3 linked regions of the Ovis aries genome follow. The protein of the gene in region 1 interacts with the protein of each later gene in a biochemical or structural test. Links are inferred from orthologs where the notes say so. Each region holds a gene or a part of one and is shown in the gene's direction. Other genes may lie near its edges.

Region 1 (7,709 bases):
AAGCAGGGTGACAATATACAGCCTTGATGTACTCCTTTTCCAATTTGGAACCAGTCTGTTGTTCCATGTCCAGTTCTAACTGTTGCTTCCTGATCTGTATACAGATTTCTCAAGAGGCAGGTCAGGTGGTCTGGTATTCCTATCTCGAAGAATTTTCCACAGTTGTGATCCACACAGTCAAAGGCTTTGGCGTAGACAATAAAGCAGAAGTAGATGTTTTTCTGGAAATCTCTTGCTTTTTTGATGATCCAATGAATGTTGGCAATTTGATCTCTGGTTCCCCTGCCTTTTCTAAATTCAGCTTGAACATTTGGAAGTTCACGGTTCATGTACTGTTGAAGCCTGGCTTGGAGAATTTTGAGCATTACTTTGCTAGCGTGTGAGATGAGTGCAGTTGTGTGGTAGTTTGAACATTTCTTTGGCATTGCCTTTCTTTGGGATTGGAAAATAACCTGCAGTGTATAAACTTAATCCTTTTGTTTTCAGTTAGGTACCCAAGACTTAACTGGGCCTGATCCTTTGCAGTTTAGATAACCATGTATTTTCCCTCTCAAGTCTAGGACCTACTTTAGAGAGAGGCATTTCCTTCCCTACAGAGGAAAGGGAGGAGACCAAGGATGTGTTTGCTTCATAAATAGTCCTTCACCATCTTTTAGCCCCACCTTTGCCTCATTTAGGACTTCCCTGGTGGCTCGGAGGTTAAAAGCGTCTACCTCCAATGCGGCAGACCCGGGTTCGATCCCTGGGTCAGGAAGATCCCCTGGAGAAGGAAATGGTAACCCACTCCAGTATTTTTGCCTGGAGAGTCCCATGGACGGAGAAGCCCAGTATGCTCCAGTCCATGGGGTCGCAAAGAGTCGGACACAACTGAGCGACTTCACTTCACTTCTTGCCTCATTTACCACCAGGGATTCCCTGGCGGCTCAGAGGATCAAGTGTCTACCTGCAATGCTGGAGACCTGGGTTTGATCTCTGGATTGGGAAGATCCCCTGGAGAAGAAAATGGCATCCACTCCAGTACTCTTTGTCTAGAAAATTCCATGGATGGAGGAGCCTGGTGGGCTACAGTCCATGGGGTCACCAAGATTCGGACAAGACTGAACAACTTAACTTCACTTTTGCCTCATTCAGTTACATGTATGTGTGTGCTCAGTTGTGGAGTGGATTGCCACTTCCTACTCCAGGGGATTTTCCCAAGTCAGGGACTGAGCCTGTGTTTTGTTGTTTCCTGCACTGGCAGGTAGATTCTTTACAACTAGGGCCACCTGTAAAACCCCATTCAGTTACATGTTGTCATATAACTAATTGAACTTGAATCTCTGGGCAATTCTAAGATGGAATTTATCTTCTTTCATCTATGTTATTGTTTTTTCATCTATATTTGTAGGTTATTGCCTTTAAAAAGTCTCCTTTAAAATAGTAAACTTTATTCCATTCTGAAACCTTACTAAAATACTAAATTTTAATAGTAAATATTAAGCTAAATTAATGGAATATTTTAATATTTACTGTTTTAGTAAGGTTTCAAAAAGGAACAGAGCTTTTTGTATCTATTCCCCCATATGCTGTCTTTAGCTGATACTCTGCCTGAAATGTGTATACCTCATTTTTTTTTCAGGGTAAGATACCTTTACTGTATCCAGACACTTCGCTTCATATTCTTTATTTGCAACAGGCCGTGCAGAAACTAGAGAAAGTGGAGTAAACAATCTGGAAAGCTTACATGAAACCTCAAGTGTGGTTGAATTTCTGTGTTCTGACTTGTTTTTTGTCCCTCACTTTAAATCCAGTGTGTGCATTTTTGTACACTTGTTTTACCAGTATCACAATCAAGAGCTAATTATGTTAAATGTATGCGGCCCAGTTTTAAGAACTGGAGAATTTGAAGATACCCTTACTTGCTCCTTGAGTTCCTAGTCTTTACTGTCGAGAGGGAGTATCTGTTTCAGTTTTTCCACACTGTTTTGTTCTCTAGCCAATCTCTTTCCCAGAATTTACTTTCCCACCTAAACTGGTTATTCTGCTTTTAAACTATGCATTGTAAAAACGCAGCGTTTTTGCTTATACAAAACGCTGTTTTGCCTGTTTCTTACACATTAAAGACAGTGGGTAGAACTAAGCCATGCAGTTGCACTTCCTTCAAAAAGGCTGAGTTGGAGGTATTGTTTTGGTGCCTGTTCGGACAAGACAGGGCAGAATTGGTTTTCCTGACATCTCAAGCCACAAAAGAATAGCTTTCTTCACCCGGATGCCTTCCCAACCACTGCTGTGTGGCCAGTGTTTGATGCATCTCGCTCACATCACAAAGTTCCTTTCATTCTAAACAGGATCAATTCTCAACAGCTGTTCCCAGCTTCTAGGCTCCAGTTTTACCTGGGCCGAGCTTTATAGTCACTGAAGCAGCTCTTATGGCGTGTGATCCTGGTTACCCTGCCAGGCCACGGGGCAAGGTGCTCGGGGCTTCGGTGGCGGGCAGCGAGCTCCGCGGTGCCGCTCTCCCCGGGAGCGCGAGGCCGGAGGGCGGAGTCCCACTTCGCGTTTGGGCCCGGAGGTCATTCGCAACCGATGCAGTCCGCAGTTCCAAAACCTCCCAAAACCTCTTCCGCCCGGATCTCGTCCCGATTCCAAAGTAACCCTGGTCTCCGCCGGCATGGAGGACCAGCCCTGGCCCCAGGCGCTGCCAATCTGCAGATCCGCCGGGCCGGGAACGCGCACCTCTCTGCTTTACGGCAAGGGAGCGCGCGTTTGCGACAATGTGACGCCAGCAACTTTTGGCGGGAAAAGCCCTGCATTTGGATTCCTGTGGTGGCGGGCAAAGGACGGCCTGGTGAGGAAGGGCGGCCGGTAGAGTGGGAAAGGCTCCTGGAGCTGGAGTTCCGGGACTACATGATTTAGGAGGGGCACGGTGACAGAACGTTCTCGGTTCCGATCCCAAAGGATCGGAGAGGCTCCCTCGGAGGGGTGGTTTCGGAGGGTGGAGGAGTATGGTGGCGGGGGTCCCCGTTGTACAGGGACTGGAGAGAAGCCGCCTCTGCTGGCTGGGAGCCCCCAAGGTTTGGGGCCCGGCGGTCCGCGTGCCACCCAGCCCTTCCGCTTCTTGGGGCAGTTTGGCCCCGCCCCGGGCTCCTCCTGGCCTTGGGGACGGGGTGGGGGTGGGAATTGGGAGTGAGTGGGTGGGGAGGAGTGGCTGCGGTCCCCGCGGTTATTTCCTCCTCCACTAGCCCTCACCCCCTTACTCTAACCCGAGACTTCACTTCTCGCCCCCTTCACCAGTCCCCGCCGTACAGCACTGGTCACCAGCTCCTCAGCGTTGCTGGTACATTTCCTCTGCCTCCTGGAAAGCGGGGTTTTAGCTTTGGGTTTGCGTGGCAGTGGGGCTTGTGAGTTATCAATCAAATGCCGCAGTTCAGGATACTTGCTCATGCTTTAAAAGACTTGGATAAAATACGGATGATGTGAAACCAGGAGCAGTGATTTATCTCGGGGGAATCACGGCAAGAGGCGGAGCTCAGAGGCTTTAGAAATGATTGAAGCTCGTCCTCACCAACCGTCTTTTCTGGGTTCCTGCCCTTACAGCCGCGGGACTGAGTGGAGTCATGGCAGTGCCCTTTGTGGAAGACTGGGACTTGGTGCAAACCCTGGGAGAAGGTGCCTATGGAGAGTGAGTCTGAGTCCGTTTTACCCGCCTTTACACTTGCTTTGGTTTTCTGTCTCCTTTGAGTACATATTCATTGTCCAGGAATTGTTCAACACTGTGTCGCCCCAAAGAACAGATCTTTGCATGCAAATTCCAAAACTTTGTGAGACTGAAGGTACACAATCTTTTGTAAGAGTTAACGGTTTGTTTTTTCTTCTTTTTTTGGGGGGGGGGGCGGGGTGCAAAACAGAGCAAAGCAAAGCATTTTTTCCCTAAAATTTAGAGATTTCTGAAATCGGTTTTTCCTCCCATATAGTCTTTCCTGGGGTTTAAACATAGTGGTTAAATGAGCAAATGAACATTCAGACTCTGGAGCCACATTACTGACCTTTGTTTTGTGAAGCTTAGGCAAGCTTTTTCTTTTTTGGCCGTTCCATGGCCGTTCCATCCTGCTTGCAGGAGGCGGACCAGAGATTGAACCTGTGCCCCAAGCAGTAGAAACATGGGGTGGGGTCTTAACCAGGGGACCACCAAGGAAGTCCCTAGGTGAGCTTCCTAAAATCCTTGTGTGCCTGTTGCTTCAGCTGTAAAATGGCAATAATAGTACATATCCTGTAGGTACTTAGAACATTTACCATAGACATGTATAGTATCAAATTAATAAATGTTAGGTAATGTTACTAAAATTAAATGACTAGAGCAAGAATGAAATCTTGACATTTGCGACAACATGGACCTGGAGCGTATTATGCCAAGTTTAAATAGGTCAGGCAGAGAAAGACAAATACTGTATGGTTTCACTTACTAGGTGAAACAAAACAAATGAACAAAAGTAACAAAAGAGAAACAGAGTTAAAACAAACAGGTGGTTGCCAGAGGGGAGGGTGGTGGGAGGAGAGAACTACTTGTACAAGCATACAGTTGCAAAATAAGTCTTCAGTATGAAATGTACAGTTGGAGAGTATAGTCAGTAATTATGTAATATCTTTGTATGGTAGCATATCCTAACTAGACATAGAGTGGTGATCATTTTGAAATGTAAAGAAATATCAAATCACTATTTGGTAACAGGAACTAATCCAGCATTGTAAGCCAATTATACTTCAAAGACAAACAGACTCACAGAAAAAGAGATGAGATTTGTGGTTATCAGAGCAGGGTGTAGGGGGAGGGGGATTTGGGTGAAGATGGTCAAAAGCTACAAACTTCCAGTTATAAGATAAATAAGTTCTAGAGATGTAATGTACAGCATTCTTAATATCAACACTGCTATATGTTATAGATGAAATTTAAAATAGTAAATAATGAGTTCTCATCACAAGGAAAGTTATTTTTTCTATTTTTAAAATTTTTTATCTGTAAAAAATGATAGATTGTCACTAAATTTATTGTGATAATCATTTCAGTGCTTTATGGCACTTATATCTCAGTAAAATTGGAAGAGAAATTAAATGAATAGAGCATGTATATGTGTGATGTGGCCTAGAATTGCTGTTATTCCATTTTTAATTTATCAAGTGTTTATATATTACTTTTGGATGTACAACATAATGACTTCTTTGGAGCATTAGCTATTATACTTCACATTTCAGAAAGGAGTATTATCTGTTGAGGACATGGCAGAAACCATTCCCATGGTTTCTTCCAAGTGGCGAAAGTAATAAAGGTAAAATAGTTTTGGATGAGTTATGTTTAATCTTTTGAAGTTTTAAAAGAAATACAGGTCAAATGTCTGGAATATTATATTTCTTCCTTTTTCTTTTTAGAGTTCAACTTGCTGTGAATAGAAGAACAGAAGAAGCAGTTGCAGTGAAGATTGTGGATATGAAACGTGCCATAGACTGTCCAGAAAATATAAAGAAAGAGATCTGTATCAATAAAATGTTAAATCATGAGAATGTAGTGAAATTTTACGGTCACAGAAGAGAAGGCAATATCCAGTATCTATTTTTGGAGTACTGCAGTGGGGGAGAACTTTTTGATAGAATAGGTATGGAAAAATTTTCAGATAATTCTTCTGCTAAATAAGTTTTTAAATTTGTCTTTTAATCTTGGGGCTTCTGTTTGTTCACTGTCCATTCAGAATTGCTTATGCGATAGTGAAACGAGTAAATTTTTTTGTTTTTGCAACTTATGTCAACACTGAATGCATATGTAGAATCATCAAAGAAATTTTCCCCCAAGTTGTATAAGTGATTTTGGTTGGCATTTCTGTTTTGTAGAGTTTAAGAATGATAAGCTGTGGTTTCTTGGTGCGTGAAGTATCATAAGTGCAATGTATTGTATGCCTATGCAGTTTTAGACATTCTAGTCTCATGAAATTGTTGCATTCATTTATAGATCTGAAATAAGAGGTTATTATATAAGTGAAATAATTGAGAATTTTATAGGATTTATATATATATTAAGTACTATTTTTGCTGCTGCTGCTAAGTCACTTCAGTCGTGTCCAACTCTGTGTGACCCCATAGACGGCAGCCCACCAGGCTCCCCCTGTCCCTGGGATTCTCCAGGCAAAAACACTGGAGTGGGTTGCCATTTCCTTCTCCAATGCATGAAAGTGAAGTCGCTCAGTCGTGTCCGACTCTTAGCGACCCCATGGACTACAGCCTACCAGGCTCTTCCATCCATAGGATTTTCCAGGCAAGAGTACTGGAGTGGGGTGCCATTGCCTTCTCTATTTTTTGTTTTGCTACTTAAGATTAAAAGTCTTGATATTAAAGAATACTGAGAATTACATAAAATATTCTGTGGACTTAAATTTATTATTTAGATGTATTAATAGTTGAAAAGTGATTATTAGAATCTCCAAAAAGATGTATCTCAGAAAAGAATTGAGTATAAAAGAAATCAATTCATAGACATGCATGGCTTTGTGGTGTGAGAAATTATATGAAATTTAAATTTCTTGTATATTTAGGAAATCGGCTTAGATTTGCTAGGCTTCCACTTTGACAATTACATTTCAGGAGTAGAAAAAAATATTGGCATAGCATTTAGAAGAAATCAGGGGTGAATTTGAAGGATATAAATCATAAGTAGTATAAGTCGGGGCTTTCAAGGTATATCTTGCATTCTTGATTTGGGTTATATTTTGTTATTCTCTAATTTTCCTGTGATGTTAATTTATTTTTGCCACTTAACAGTTGGGGAAATGTGAGTTGTTAGCAATATATGTATTAGTGGACTCCAGAATAATTTCATTGTAAGCATTAGATTCTCTTTGCAAAAGTGCGATCATAGATGTTAAACTTTAGAATTAGGAAACTATGTGGTTGATGCCTGACTATATTTACCTGATAAACTAACTTTCACAATTCTTATAGAGCCAGACATAGGCATGCCTGAACAAGAGGCTCAGAGGTTCTTCCATCAACTTATGGCAGGGGTGGTAGGTACAGTGGTCTCTTTTCCTTTCATTTAAAATTAGTCTTAGTGAAATAAGTTACTCAGTTCTGGTATGCTTCCCTCTGCTTCTCTTTTAGGTTTATCTGCATGGTATTGGAATAACTCACAGGGATATTAAACCCGAAAATCTCCTATTGGATGAAAGGGGTAAGTTTAGCATTTTGTCACTGCTACCAAAATCATTTTAATACAAAGGCGGGATCAAGGCTTTTGCATTACTGAAACTTCAGGGCAGCTTCTTAATCTGCCACTCAGTTACGGTAAATATTCAGTAAGTATAGTTAAGGTGAAAGTTCTGCCTACAGTTTGTGTGTCTTAGAGGTGGGAAGTTAGAGAGGAAATTTGCTCTTCTTATTTGTTTTTGTGCAGAGTTCCTCCTCCTTTTATAAACATAGCCACCTTGATGAGAAGCTCTGGAGGTCTGTGGATCTTGAGTTTCTGTGTGTCTTTATATGCTTCCTTCCAGCCAGCTGGGTTTTTACATCTCTGAGAACGTTGTGCCTAGAGTATTATTGATACCTCGTGCCTCTGCATAGCCGGGTGAGGACATGGCTCTGCTCTCAGTGTTTAAGTGCTCCTTTCTAGAAGACCCTTTTGACTCCAGGATCTTCCTCTAACCTGGTCCATGCTGTTTGTATATTGACAGTATTTGTCTTAAGTTAAT
Region 2 (6,958 bases), on another chromosome or scaffold:
ATGATGGACAAATTTAGCAGCATTTGTAGGAATCATGAAGTATTTTAAAGGTTTGGACTCAGTGATATCCCTCTGACATATACCTACTAGGTGAATATCAACATTTTGTACTTTTGGATAATGGAAACTTGTAGAACATCCTCCTTTATTAGAGAATGTATCATTATACCAAGCCCTGGGAGCTCACATGGTATGATTTTTTAAATATTGCTTAACAGTATGGACCCTGAAAACTAAGATCATGGCATCCAGTCCCATCACTTCATAGCAAATAGATGGGAAAACAGGAGAAACAGTGTCTGTCTTTGTGTTTTGGGGCTCCAAAATCACTGCAAATGGTTTTGGCAGCTATGAAATTAAAAGACCCTGCTCCTTGGAAGAAAAGCTATGACAAACTTAGCATATTAAAAAGCAGAGACTTTACTTTGCCAACAAAGGTCCATCTAGTCAAAGCTATGGATTTTCCAGTAGTCATGTATGGATGTGAGAGTTGGACTGTAAAGAAAGCTGAGGGCCGAAGAATTGATCCTTTTGAACTGTGGTGTTGGAGAAGACTCTTGAGAGTCCCTTGGACTGCAAGGAGATCTATCCAGTCCATCCTAAAGGAGATCAATCCTGAGTGTTCATTGGAGGGACTGATGTTGAAGCTGAAACTCCAATCCTTTGGCCACCTGATGTGAAGAGTTGACTCATTGGAAAAGACCCTGATACTGGGAAAGATTGAAGGCAGGAGGAGAAGGGAATGACAGAGGATGAGATAGTTGAATGGCATCACCGACTCAATGGATAGGATGTTGAGTAAACTCCAGGAGTTGGTGATGGACAGGGAGGCCTGGCGTGCTGCAGTCCATAGGGTCGCAAAGAGTTGGACACAGCTAAGCAACTGAACTGAACTGATGGACCCTGAAGTTACCTACCCTCTTTGTACTTCAGTTGTAGTTTTCTAATTAAGGATAATAATTGTTCTTATTTCATAGGATTCTTGTGAGGATTAACTGAATTATTATATATTATTTTATATAGTAATAATGCCAATCATATAAAAGTACTCAATATATGTGAGTTGTTTCAATAATAGTAATAATAGTACTAGTAGTAGAGAATGATTATTTTATAAAGGTAAATATTTGGAATTATTAAAATAGTTGTAAGTTGAAAGCAAATGATGAAAGACATTTTTAACCTGTTTTTTTCCTACATGGAAGATATTTTTGTACAGTCATGATAATGAATTACATTTTAAGACTTTGCTTTCCTTTACAGAATGATCCCAACTTAAAACTTATATACACAGAATGTCTAAGAGTTTGTGGCACTTGGTTAGCAGAAACTTGCTTAGAAAATCCTGCAGTCATCATGCAGACCTATCTAGAAAAGGTAAGGTTTTTGAGGAACCCTAATAGAATCGCTTAGCATAAATACATTTGATCTTTTCATAGAAGTGAAATGAAGTGAAAGTTGCTCAGTGGTGTCCAAGTCTTAACAACTCCATGGATTGTAGCCTGCTAGGCTCCTGTGTCCGTGGGATTCTCCAGGCAAGAATACTGGAGTGGGTTGCCATGCCCTCCTCCACGGGATCTTCTCAACCCAGTGCTTCTACCACCTTTGAGCTTCCTGTTTCTCCCTCTTATTCATATAGTTTAATTTTTAAAATAGCTACTTTACTAATAAATGAACATGAAAAGCCTAATATGTTTTTTTAGTTTTATAGAGCTTTATGTTTTTGTACCATTCTTTACACATATTAGCTATTTGTTGTTTCTGCTCTGTCAAAATTGTTTTGAAAACTCAAAGTACTGTATTTTGTATAATTTAGCTTATATACATATATATATGTTAAATTTTACTGTGGATATTTCTTTGATCTGAGTAATTCTTTAGATGCATTTAGTATCTGTAAATATAAATGGATTGTTTTTTTCTTGAAGGCTGTGGAAGTTGCTGAAAATTATGATGGAGAAAGCAATGATGGCCTGAGAAATGGAAAAATGAAGGCATTTCTCTCATTAGCACGGTTCTCAGATACTCAATACCAAAGAATTGAAAACTACATGAAATCCTCAGAATTTGAAAATAAGCAAGCTCTTCTGAAAAGAGCCAAGGAGGAAGTTGGCCTACTTAGGGAACATAAAATCCAGACCAACAGGTAACTGAGGGTCTACAAGTAACAAGATATACAGTATTTATACAGGTATACAGAACCAGATAGGAATTCATGCTGTGGCTCTATACTAATTGTGAAATATACTGGTGTTAACTTTTTGTTTTGCTTTTTTAGTTTGTTTGTTGGTATCATAGTTGAAAAAGAGATATGTGTTGAAATTAGAGAGGAGTTACTTAGTTTGATGTAATTAAATACTTTTTTCAAACCTGCTTTTATATATATTTTAGTGTAAGTAGAAAATAAAGTTAATGAAATACCTTGCATAGAGTCTACTTTGGTTGCCTAAAATAGCTTTTGAATTGCAGAAACTTAAAGACAAAAGTAAGTTTATTCTCTTTATAATTCTTAGAATGTTGCTTTTTCTCCAAAGATGGACACCTGATTTTTCATTTATATTTTATATCTTATTTGATTTTGTAGTTCTATAAAATTTAACAGCTTTTGTGTTTTATTTTAATTATCCAATGTAAGATACACAGTAAAGGTTCAGCGAGAGCTAGAGTTGGATGAATGTGCACTCCGTGCATTGAAAGAGGATCGTAAACGTTTCTTATGTAAAGCAGTTGAAAATTACATCAATTGCTTATTAAGTGGTGAAGGGCATGATATGTGGATATTTCGTCTTTGTTCTCTCTGGCTTGAAAATTCTGGAGTTTCTGAAGTCAATGGCATGATGAAGGCAAGTTTTCTTTTTCACCCCAGTATTCTAGCCTGTGCTTTAAAAGTTAAGCCATTAGCCCCTCAAATGTCATGCATTTTGTATACTTTGTATCCTTGGCAGTTGGTTTAGGGCACTGCACATAGGTACTTAACTAACTCTAATGATATAGGTTTATGTGGATATGAGAGAATTTAGGTCAGTCTTTTCCTGTAGCATTTAAATTACCATTGGAAAGTACCCAGAATGCTAGACTGGGAAATTTGGAAAGCAATTAAAAGATGATGTGATCACAGGTGGTGTTTTTTTAACCCCTGCTCTATTATTTTCTCTTTGTTTTTTTTTTTTTTTTACAATAAATTATTTTTTAAATGGAAAAAAACCATTTTAAGAAAACATTAAGGCAGTAGAATTTTATAAATTTTTATTTAAAAATCTTGGGTTTTATTGACATCTAAAGTTATATTTCAATCAGTTTGAAGCTTAAAATAGTTCTTCTGGCTGAAGAGAATACTCATAAGAGATACAACAAATTTCTGCTACTAGTGTACATTAAATCCTGTTACTTTTAGAATGGAGGGGAAAATAGTTATTCCATTTTATTCACACTGACTTCTCAGGAGTCAAGATTACAATAGTCCTTAGATCAATGTTTGTCCTCCTTGGATTCATTGGAATATAAGCAGTACCAAGTATTCCACTTTTGAATGCAATCTGGTACAGGTTCAAACATGATTTACCAGTGAGTCAATCTAGACTTTAAGATAAATGATAAGGAAAAAATATGTCTGCTTGATGATTGCACTAATAGAGGAGCATTTTGTATTTTTTTAGATATGAGGTCTAGTTGAAATGCATTGCTTTTTAATTTTGTATTTTTTTAATGGCAGAGAGATGGAATGAAGATTCCATCATACAAATTTTTGCCTCTTATGTACCAATTGGCTGCTAGAATGGGGACCAAGATGATGGGAGGTCTAGGATTTCATGAAGTCCTCAATAATGTAAGTAAACATGAAAATCAAACCACAATTGCTTTTCTTTTATATTATTGTATATTACTGTTCCACTCTAGAAAGTGGCTACACAAAAAAGTATCATCAGTCATATTTATTATGTTATATAAGGGCAAGAATATTCTCTTTCGTCTCCTTTCATATGCCACATGTTACTCACTTTCTCTTTGTTTTTCCTCATATACTTCTCTCACCCATACATACCACATCACCACTCCCGCCCCCCACACACAGTCCACCCACTGTAGCATCTAGCACAGTAAAACGTATCTTAATGTTAAGCAAAATTTAAATTTAAAAAGTTATGGATTTTTAATTTTTTTCTTTCCATAAAATTAACAGTTCTTAATTTTCTGACAGCTCATCTCTAGAATTTCAATGGATCATCCTCATCACACTTTGTTTATCATATTGGCCTTAGCAAATGCAAACAAAGATGAATTTTTGACCAAACCAGAGGCAGCCAGAAGGAGTAGAATTACTAAAAATGCACCTAAACAAAGCTCTCAGCTTGATGAGGTATTTGGATTGAACATGCATACCTTTTTTAATTGCGATATTCATTTTTTCTCAAAATATTCCTTTCTTAAGTCTCAGGAATTCAAAGAGTATGTATTGTTACAATATTAAATTTGTAAATCCTTTGTTATTATGATGCTACCTAAAACTGGTTCAAAATTCCTGAATATTTCTCAAAGCATAAGAGATACCAAAGGTATTTTACTGTTTTTCCTCAGCGTAATGAGGAAAGAAAAAATAGATTTTACAAGGCACCCAAGTCATTTACTCTTGAGATTATTATACCTTTGATATGTTTCATTCATAATACAGTGACTGCTTTGTCTCTGAGGAATTATAGTCCTTCCATTGTCTAGATATGTACATAAATTCCATTTTTTTGTTTTTATAACTCTAAAAGTTTTAATGTTGCATATTTGCTTTTGTAATATTTTTTGTTTGTATTTTATTATTAGGATCGAACCGAGGCTGCTAACAAAATAATACGTACTATCCGAAGTAGGAGACCTCAGATGGTCAGAAGTGTTGAGGCACTTTGTGATGCTTATATTATACTAGCAAATTTAGATGCCACTCAGTGGAGGACTCAGAGAAGTATGCAATTTGAAAGAATGAATGTTGCATTCTTGCTATGTTAATCTCTGTTGTTGTTTTTAGGTGCTAAGTCATATCTGACTGTTTTGTGACCCCATGGCCTATAGTCTGCCAGGCTCTTCTGTCCATAAGATTTCCCATTTTCCCAGGCAAGAATACTGGAGTGGGTTGCCATTTCCTTCTCCAGGAGATCTTCGCAACCCAGGGACTGAATCTGAGTCTCCTGCATTGCAGGCAGATTCTTTACTGCTGAGCCACCAGGGAAGCCCACTTATTCTCTATAGGGATATTTTAATTACAGAACAGAATGTAAATCTGCTCAACTCACATTAATTATAGATATGAAAGTTTTGATGATTATAACTCACACGTAATTCAAAACTTTATTTTTATCTAAAAGCCTTCAATACCCCTCCAGTTACTTTTTCGCTTAATATCTTGTTGTGGAACTGATTTTTAACAGATAACTGCATTCTAGGACTTAAAAATGAAAAGACTATCATTTTCTCCATCACTCTTCTTGCTGTGTCTCTTTAAATAATTATAAGCTGCTATAATTTGGTTGTGTGTATCTGTCTCCCCAAACTTTAATAATTATGTTCTTTTTTTCCGTTCAGAATCATGTCTTCATAGTTAAATTCTTACTATTTTAAAATAAAAATGAGGCTTCTCATAGTGTTCCTCTAAGCAAACAAAGAATACTGTCATGTTGTTTAGTCACATTTAATAATAATATGTATAGCATTATCTATGTGCTGTTCATACTATTATATAATTATCTTAAGTTGTCCAACTTGGCACCTCAGGTGGAGTCTGGTCTAATTACCAGTGCCAGGTAACCTGCAAATTCATCTGTAAGCCACATTACTCATTGCTATGCCCTGACCCTGAGCGGCATTATGTCCCAAGTCTTTGGTCTTCATTTCTAAATCAGAACCACAGATTAGCCATAGTTTGGGTTTATGGTATCTGCTGAATTCTCCTGCTTTACCTACAATACTGTTGCTCAATTTGCAGTTGTCACTGAAACTTCTTTATTTTAAATACAGAAGGCATAAATATTCCAGCAGACCAGCCCATTATCAAACTTAAAAATTTAGAAGATGTTGTTGTCCCTACTATGGAAATTAAGGTAATTTGCTATTAACCGTTTTGATTTTTTAATTAAACTAAATTACTTTTTAGCAAGTTAAACCATTTGAAATAGCCTTTTATTGTAGGTCAAAATTGGTTAATTATTGGCAATTTCATTTGTTTCAACCAATAGTTTTTTCTTTATTGGATTCCCTTTGCCCAAGACTTAAAATACTTAAAGATCTCTCCTGCTTTCTTTTCTATTTCCTTCAGTTTTTACAGTTGTCATCTTTCTTATGAAGAAGTCTGTAAGCTGTTATTGGTATTTTCATTGGCCAGAAGAAGGAAATATTTTGTGTGTTTATGTCAATATTAATTTTTAACTGAGCAAGAAAGTTCCTAATTGTTTTATATTGAGTTTTAAAATTCTGTACATGTTAGAATGTATTGACTGCGATGTGTTACAATATTAAATAATACAATATATATTACAGTATTGACTGTAATATACATGACACTTTCAGCTATGTCCTAATGGTTTTTTATTGCTGGAAGTACGATGTGGGCAGGGGTAAATATAATAATAAAGGTTGTTTGGTCACTAAGTCATGTCCATCTCTTTTGTGACCCCAAGGACTGCAGCGCTCCAGGCTCCTCTGTCCTTGAAATTTTCTAGGCAAGAATATTGGACTGGGTTGCCATTTCCTTCTCTAGGGGATCTTCCCAACCCTAGGATCTAACCCACGTCTCGTGCATTGGCAGGTGGATTCTTTACCACCAAGCCACCTGGGAAGCCCATAATAAATAAAGATTACAGTTTAGAAAATGATCATTTTAACTACATTGTAAAATCTCTCCTTTGAGTTTGCAGTTTAATGTTTAATATGTATGGTTATTTGTAGCTTCATCGTGTAATAACCTATCAGCAAAGTT
Region 3 (6,958 bases), on another chromosome or scaffold:
GGAGGCCCTGTAACTCATTTTATAATGGGAGTTTTACTGAAAAAACAAGATAGGCTTGCCTAATGAGATATACTCTTATTTTGACTCCAGGAATGGTTTCTCCTAGGGAGAGTATAATGGGCAGAAAAGCTTGGACTTTGCCGTCAAACAAGTGAGCGGTGTAATCTTGGTAACCTTTCTTAAGGATTGGTTTCCTGATTTGTTAAATAAAAATGGAAAATAGAGGATTAACTACCTTTAGTGTGTTGTGAGGCTTAAATGGGATTATACATAAAAGGTTATATCCCAGTCTGAAAACAGGGCTTCCTTCATAGCTTAGTCAGTAAAGAGTCTGCCTGCAATGCAGGAGACCTGGGTTCAATTCCTGGGTCAGGAAGATCCCCTGGAGAAGGAAATGGCAACTCACTCCAGTATTCTTGCCTGGAGAATCCCATGGACAAAGGAGCCTGGCAGGCTACAGTCTATGGGGTCGCGAGAGTCGGACACGACTTAGCAAATAAGTACACACCAGCACACCCAGTGTCTGGCCCAAGTAATTCCTCAGTTAGAACTGAGCAACTGTCATTTAAATTGCGAATCTAAAGAACAAGGATGGATTTTCTAGAACTTCTAGACTTTATATCCCTCTGTCAGAACTGGAGTTACAGAAACATTTCTCTAGTCTGTTTTGTGGTCTCCATAGGGACTTGGTATCTTCTCACCCTTCCAAACTTTAGCAGATTATCACCTGTCACTACCCTCATGCGATCCCTGTTCACCATTAATAATCCTCAGAAAAAACAAGCCTTGCCCTTCATTGGAGGCTAGCCCCAGATCCCACTATAAGGTGAATTGCTCCTGGGGAGAGTTCTTTATGAAGGCTACTTGGCCTGACTCGAATCAGAACTGTGTGTGGATATCAGTTCGTTTATAATCTTAGGTCTTATTTTTCCTTTGATTTGTAGCTGCTAAAACTTCTTAAAACGAAAATGGTATATTTTCTTCATAAAAACTAGTAACCCATTCAGAGAAATCAAAGCTGATTATTAACAAGCCATGAATTCTGTCTTCTAGCTTTCCTCAAATGAAAGAGATGGCAATGAACCAGGGAATTCCATTCCTTTTATGCCCCAGTCACCTGTGACTCCCACTTTGTCTGATGAGGATGATGGCTTCATGGATCTTCTTGATGGAGACAGTTTGAAGGTATGGTGTGGGTATGTGCTTTCCGATCCATTTTTGCTAACTTTCCCTGGAGAGCCGTCATCTGAAAAAGAACAGTGATCCCCCAACTGGCTGATAACTTTTTAAGGTTTTGTTTACTTACTTAATTCATTTTTTGGCTATATTTGCTCTTCGTTGCTGTACCTGGGCTTTCTCTAGTTGCAGAGAGCTGGGACTACTCTTCCGTGGCGGTGCACGGGTTTCTCACGGTGGCGGCTTCTCTTGTTGTGGAGCACAGGCTCTAGCGCACGGACTTCAGCAGTTGCAGCTTGTGGGCTCCAGGGCACCGGCTCTGTAGTTGTCCACAGGCTCAGCTGCTCCTCAGCATGTGGAACCTTCCCAGGCCAGGGGTGGAACCTGTGTCCCTTGCATTGCAAGGAGGATTCTTAACCACTGGACCACCAGGGGAAGCCCTGGCCGATGCTTTTATTCATCTGTTGGGAATTTATTGACTCTGCTTCTAGTCTGCTTAAATTCTATGGAGGTGTTCCAAAGAAAACACTGATGTGATCCTTCTTCCCCTGCAGGAGCTGACAATCTTTTTTTTTTCCTGGAAGGACGTGAATCAGGGACTGAAAGAATAGCTGCCATGTGATGTAAAGCTGAGGAGACCAGTGGCTCCTCGTGGCCCCTCAGGGGCATTCCCTTAGCTATGTTCAGATAGCATCACTCTTACTCTCTTGACCTTAAAGTGTTGTGGAGAGGGGAGGCATTGACCCTTAGAAGACTTCCTGTTCACGTCTTTCTGGTATTCTGCAAGAAGAAATCTAACGCACTTAAACTAATGTTGTTTCTACTGGACCTTTGGACCTTTATGACACAGTTTTTCTTTGTTTAGAATGATGAAGAGACCCCGTCCTGCATGGCCAGCCTCTGGACAGCTCCCCTTGTCATGAGAAGAACTAGCAACCTAGTAAGTTCCAGTGTGTCTGGAGGGAGTGACAGGAATCCAAATTATTTCTTTTGAGATTCTGCATTTGAGCCTATGGGCCTGTTTGGCTGGCCACTAGTGTTTCCTGGTGTTAATGTATGCTGTTTTTTCAAGGGTGTTTTGTTTTGTTTAATACCCACCTACTTGTGTAGACTAGAGACATCTGTTTCCATCAGGGACACTTTCAAAAGCTGTGCCTGTAGAGGGACACATCCTCATGTATGTAAACATCCAGGGAAAGTGAGCTCTTATCATAGTATACATACAGCTACACACTCTTAGGTATATGTATAGACGCTGAATACATCTTTAATCCATGCCCCTGAACTATACATATGGAACAAATGAACCAGTCTAGTCTTGAAGCCACTTACACATTATAGTAGACCAATGTGCAAAGCTTTGAGAGATTAGACCACCCCAATAAAATGGTATGACCAGATTTACTAAGTCCTTTTGAAAGAAAACATTATTAATATATACAGTGTGAGAATGCTTGGAAAATGGCTATCAGTTTTATAAGTTGGATGGAAAAACCATGAAACAGTATGTGTAGGCCCTTCACAATGGTAGAGTTTCACAAACACAGTAGACTCATCATAAGGGCCAGGGGCTGAGTCAGAACTGGGGTTTCTGCCCTTGAAGAGCTTACAGGTCCTCTGAGACCTTACTGAAAGCTGTAGACCCTCTTTCCAAAAATGCTTCCAGCTCTTCTAGGTTAAAAACAAACATATGAAAAATAACCCCCATGATCTTGCTTCTCTGAGCAACATCCTATTAAAAGGAACTTCAGAAAAATAAGCGGAAAACCCTTGGTCTCTGGGAGAGGCAATGGGGGTGACACACTTGCTGCAAACTATTAGGAACTTTTCCAAAGAAGAGGCGACACTGAAATGTTAGTATCAGCTTGAAAGGGAGTGCTTTACGGAGGAGAGGGGTGCGGGGTGTGTGTGAAAGGATACCGAGTTCAGAAGGAAAAGCCCAGCCAGAGAGCACTGAGTTGTGAACGAGGTGAGATGAGTTTAGGTTGCTGAAGTCAGACTGTCTCTACCACTAGTCAGGGTGGCTGCTCTCAAACCCCGAGAAAGTAGTCCTTAGGAGTATTATAGCACATCTTCCTGTATTTCCTTTGGCTTTGTAAGTCTTGAATTTAAAATGCTCTGCTACAGTCCAGAAAGAAAAACAGCCAAGCAGAGAGCATGGCTTCTAAACAGTTTTGAAGGCACCCCTGCCCACTGCAAACTCAAACTCAACTCTGTTTTATCTGCTTAACTGGCTCTAATATATAGTATAATCCAGATGCCTCATACCTTCTGGATTTAGGGGGCTGTTAAAACCTCTTCAAGCTGCTCGAGCAAGGTGCAAATAATAAAGTAGAGGGGAAGAGGAAGCCAGAATTGTGGCCCTGGCTGGAAGGTAACACTTGCTGGGAAGTATATCAGGCACCCTTTGACTCTTAGGACCCTGTGCAGAATGTAGGCTTTTCAGGGCCTGGGTAGTCTTCCTCATTTGTATCCAGTCAGGTTTTGAACATGTTCAGTGAACACCAAGGTCTCAGTGTCTACTGTGTGCCAAGGACTGGATAAACGGACAGTGTCTGTTTCTTAATTTAGGATCTGTGCTAAGTCCCTTTGGTCGTGTCCAACTCTGCGACCCTGTGGACTGTAGGCTACCAGGTTCCGCTGTCCATGAGATTCTCCAGGCAAGAATACTGGATGGAGTGTGTTGCCATGCTCTCCCCCAGAGATCTTCCTGACCCAGAGATCGAACCCCAGTTTCTTTTGTCTCCTGCACTGGCAGGCAGGTTCTTTACCACTAGCACCACCTGGGAAGCCCACTTTGGAATGGCTTGATCTTAAACCATCCCAGGAAGTCCTTGGTCTGTCCTCTTTACCATTCGAATCAGTGTATTTTAATGAAACATGAGTCTCTTTTTTTTTTTTCCCCAAAGGGCAATCGCTGCAAGCTGTTTGACTCCCCTTCGGAGTCCTGCAGCTCTACCATCCGGTCAATGTTGAAAAGACCAGACCGATCACTGGAGGAGTCCCCAGGTGGAAGCAGGAAGCGGAGGAAAAGCGTGGCTGGGGCCAGTCCGGAAGAGGCAGCTAGTCCACAGAAGCCCCAAGAGGTTAGTTCTGCAGCTTCTTTTTCGCTCAAGGATGTTGTATCTGTCAGTTCTAAAATGCACGTTTGTTTGTTTTTCTTTGCTGAGACTGGCTGTTTTTATTTTTCGTTTGTTTCAGTCTTGTTCAGAATTGCCTGTTAAAGCATTTTTATGATGGCTACTTTAAAATCCTAGTCAGGTAGTTCCAGCATCTGCGTCTGGTGTGGCTTTCTGTTGATTGTCTTTTCCTATTCAGGTTGAGATTTTTCCTGGTTCTTCATATGAGAAGAGATTTTTTTTCAGTTGTATCTGTGTACTTTGGATGTTATGAGGCTATGTAACTGCTGTTTTAGTAGTATTCCGATACTGCAGGGAAAGGGGGACGGAAGTTCAGTCTCCCTTAATGTGCTACTTAGGTAGGTCAGACCTCATGGCTGCTGGGCAGGAGTGGGAAAGGAAGTTCAAGCTCCCTTCTAGACCTCCACCAACACCATCCCAGTGAGGTTGAGATTGGGGCACTTAATTACAGCTGGGCAAGGGTGGAAGTCTAAGCTCCCCACTTGCTGTTGGGTCCTGGCGTAGGGCCATAACTTTTTTCCCTTGGTTGGGTTTTTTGTTTTGTTTGTTTTCATTTTTCTTGTGTCCTGACCTATTTAGGACTACTTTAGGTTTGTGTCCTGACCTATTTAGGCTACTTTAGGTTTGTCTCACAACTTTGATTATAGTGTTTTTCGTTGTCACTTAGTATTTTATTTCTTTTTATTTCTCTGTGATGAGAACTCAAGATTTATTCTCAACTACTTTCATATACACCATACATCCGACCTAACTATAGTCATCATGTTGTACATTACATCCCTGGTACTTGTCTCATCACTGGAAGTTGTACATTTTGATCACGTTCATCTGGCCCCCCTTCTCCATTGCTTACCTCTGGTAACCCCACAAATCTGATCTCCTTTTCTGTGAGTTTGGTTTTTGTTTTGGTGGTTGTGGTAGTGGTTAGCACTGTGTGTTTTCAGTTTTTTCATTCCCCGTACAAGTGATGTCATATACTTATTTGTCTTTCTCGGTCCGACTTACTTCAATTTCACTTAGCATAATGCCCTCAAGGTCCATCCATGTTACTGCAAATAGCAGGATTTCCTTCTTTTTGTATGGCTAAATAATAATCCATTGTGTGAATGTGTATTCCAGCTTCCTCATCCATTCATCTGTCAGTGAACACTTTTTTCCATGTTGTGGCTATTATAAATAATGCTGCTGTAATGTGAGTGCAGATATTTCTTGACATAGTGTTTTCGTTTTCTTAGAATATGTTTCCAGAAGTGGTATTGCTAGATCATATGTTTTGGGTTCAACTTTTTAAGGTACGTCCATACTGTTTTCCATAGCAGCCATCCCACTCTACAGCCCCACCAGTACTGTACAGGTGTTCCCTTGTCTTCACATCCTTATCAACACTTGTTTCTTGTCTTTTGTTTTTTTTTGGCCACTCCATGGGCTTGGGGGATCTTAGTTTCCTTGCCAGGGATTGAACTCAGGCCCTCAGCAGTAAAAGTGTGGAATCCTAACAGTGGGCCACCAGGGAATTGCTCTTGTCTTTTTTTTTTTTTTAAGTGATTCATTTTATAATTTGTTGGTTTTTTTTTTTCCTTGTTTGGCTGTGCTGGGTCTTCGGTGCTGCTCAGACTTTTCTAGTTGCGGTGAGCAGGGGCTATTCTACAGTTGTGGTGCGTGGACTTCTCATCGTAGTGGCTTCTCGTTGCAGAGAACGGGCTCCAGGGCACTCGGGCTTCAACAGGTGCAGCATGTGGGCTCAGTAGTTGCAGCTCCCAGGCTCTAGAGCACAGGCTCAGTAGTTGCGGCACACAGACTTAGTTGCTCCAAGGCACGTGAGATCTTCCCGGATTGGGGATCGCACCCATGTCTCCTGCATTGACAGGCGGATTCTTACCACTGAGCCTCCAGAGAAGCCCCATCTTGTCTTTTTGAAGATAGTCTTTCTTATAGGCCTGAGGTGATATTTCACTGTAGTCTGGATATTGATCATCTTTTTGTGTCCCTGTTGGCCATTTCTGTACCTTTGGGAAAATGTCTATTCAGATCCTTTTCTGTTTGTAAAACTGGTTTATTTAGGAGGTTTTTTTTTTTTTTTTTTTTTGGTGGAGGGTTTTATTAAGTTGTATGGATTCCTGACATTTTGGATATTAACCCCTTATCAGATAATGTGGTTTGCAGATATTTTTTCCAATTCCGGATGTAGTTTTCATTTTGTTGATCATTTCTTTTAATGGGTAGAAGCTTTTCAGTTTGATTTGCTGCTTAGGTATGTTAGGTGTCAGATCCAAAAAATTGCCCAGACCCACATCAAGGAACTTTTTTCCTGTGTTTTCTTCTAGGAGTTTAACAGTTTCCTGTCTCAAATTTAAGTCTTTACTCCATCTTGAGTTATTTATTGTGAATAATGGAATATAGGGGCCTAATTTTCATTCTTTCATATGTGAATATTCCATTTGCCCGGCACCATTTATCGAAGACTTATCTTCTCTTCATCAAGCATTCTAGTTGATGGTATCTGTGCTGTTTCTCTTCTAAACATGCACTTTCATTTTTCCTGTGGACTCTCTGTGTCCTAGGCTAGGCATGTGTTTCGCTTCAGTAGACACTGCCATATAACTTTCCAAAATGTTGGTCCAGTCAACCCTCTGTATCTGGGG

Evidence for each region.
Region 2: of the proteins of CHEK1 (region 1) and ATM, one has a biochemical effect on the other in vitro, tested with the Homo sapiens proteins (2 studies listed by BioGRID, with this or other methods). The link is inferred for Ovis aries from reciprocal best matches to the Homo sapiens genes CHEK1 and ATM.
Region 3: of the proteins of CHEK1 (region 1) and CDC25A, one has a biochemical effect on the other in vitro, tested with the Homo sapiens proteins (7 studies listed by BioGRID and IntAct, with this or other methods). The link is inferred for Ovis aries from reciprocal best matches to the Homo sapiens genes CHEK1 and CDC25A.

What each region holds. Positions count from the first base shown.
Region 1 is NC_056074.1:26,495,582-26,503,290, forward strand, and holds the start of CHEK1 (serine/threonine-protein kinase Chk1), read left to right. Parts: upstream 1-2,752; 5' UTR 2,753-3,316; intron 3,317-3,576; 5' UTR 3,577-3,596; coding exon 3,597-3,661; intron 3,662-5,403; coding exon 5,404-5,627; intron 5,628-6,963; coding exon 6,964-7,028; intron 7,029-7,122; coding exon 7,123-7,192; intron 7,193-7,709. UniProt on the Homo sapiens protein: Serine/threonine-protein kinase which is required for checkpoint-mediated cell cycle arrest and activation of DNA repair in response to the presence of DNA damage or unreplicated DNA.
Region 2 is NC_056068.1:17,635,287-17,642,244, forward strand, and holds part of ATM (serine-protein kinase ATM), read left to right. Parts: intron 1-1,263; coding exon 1,264-1,377; intron 1,378-1,928; coding exon 1,929-2,146; intron 2,147-2,635; coding exon 2,636-2,843; intron 2,844-3,712; coding exon 3,713-3,826; intron 3,827-4,198; coding exon 4,199-4,357; intron 4,358-4,812; coding exon 4,813-4,951; intron 4,952-6,000; coding exon 6,001-6,083; intron 6,084-6,958.
Region 3 is NC_056072.1:51,707,219-51,714,176, forward strand, and holds part of CDC25A (M-phase inducer phosphatase 1), read left to right. Parts: intron 1-1,053; coding exon 1,054-1,185; intron 1,186-2,041; coding exon 2,042-2,116; intron 2,117-4,085; coding exon 4,086-4,262; intron 4,263-6,958. UniProt on the Homo sapiens protein: Tyrosine protein phosphatase which functions as a dosage-dependent inducer of mitotic progression. Directly dephosphorylates CDK1 and stimulates its kinase activity. Also dephosphorylates CDK2 in complex with cyclin-E, in vitro.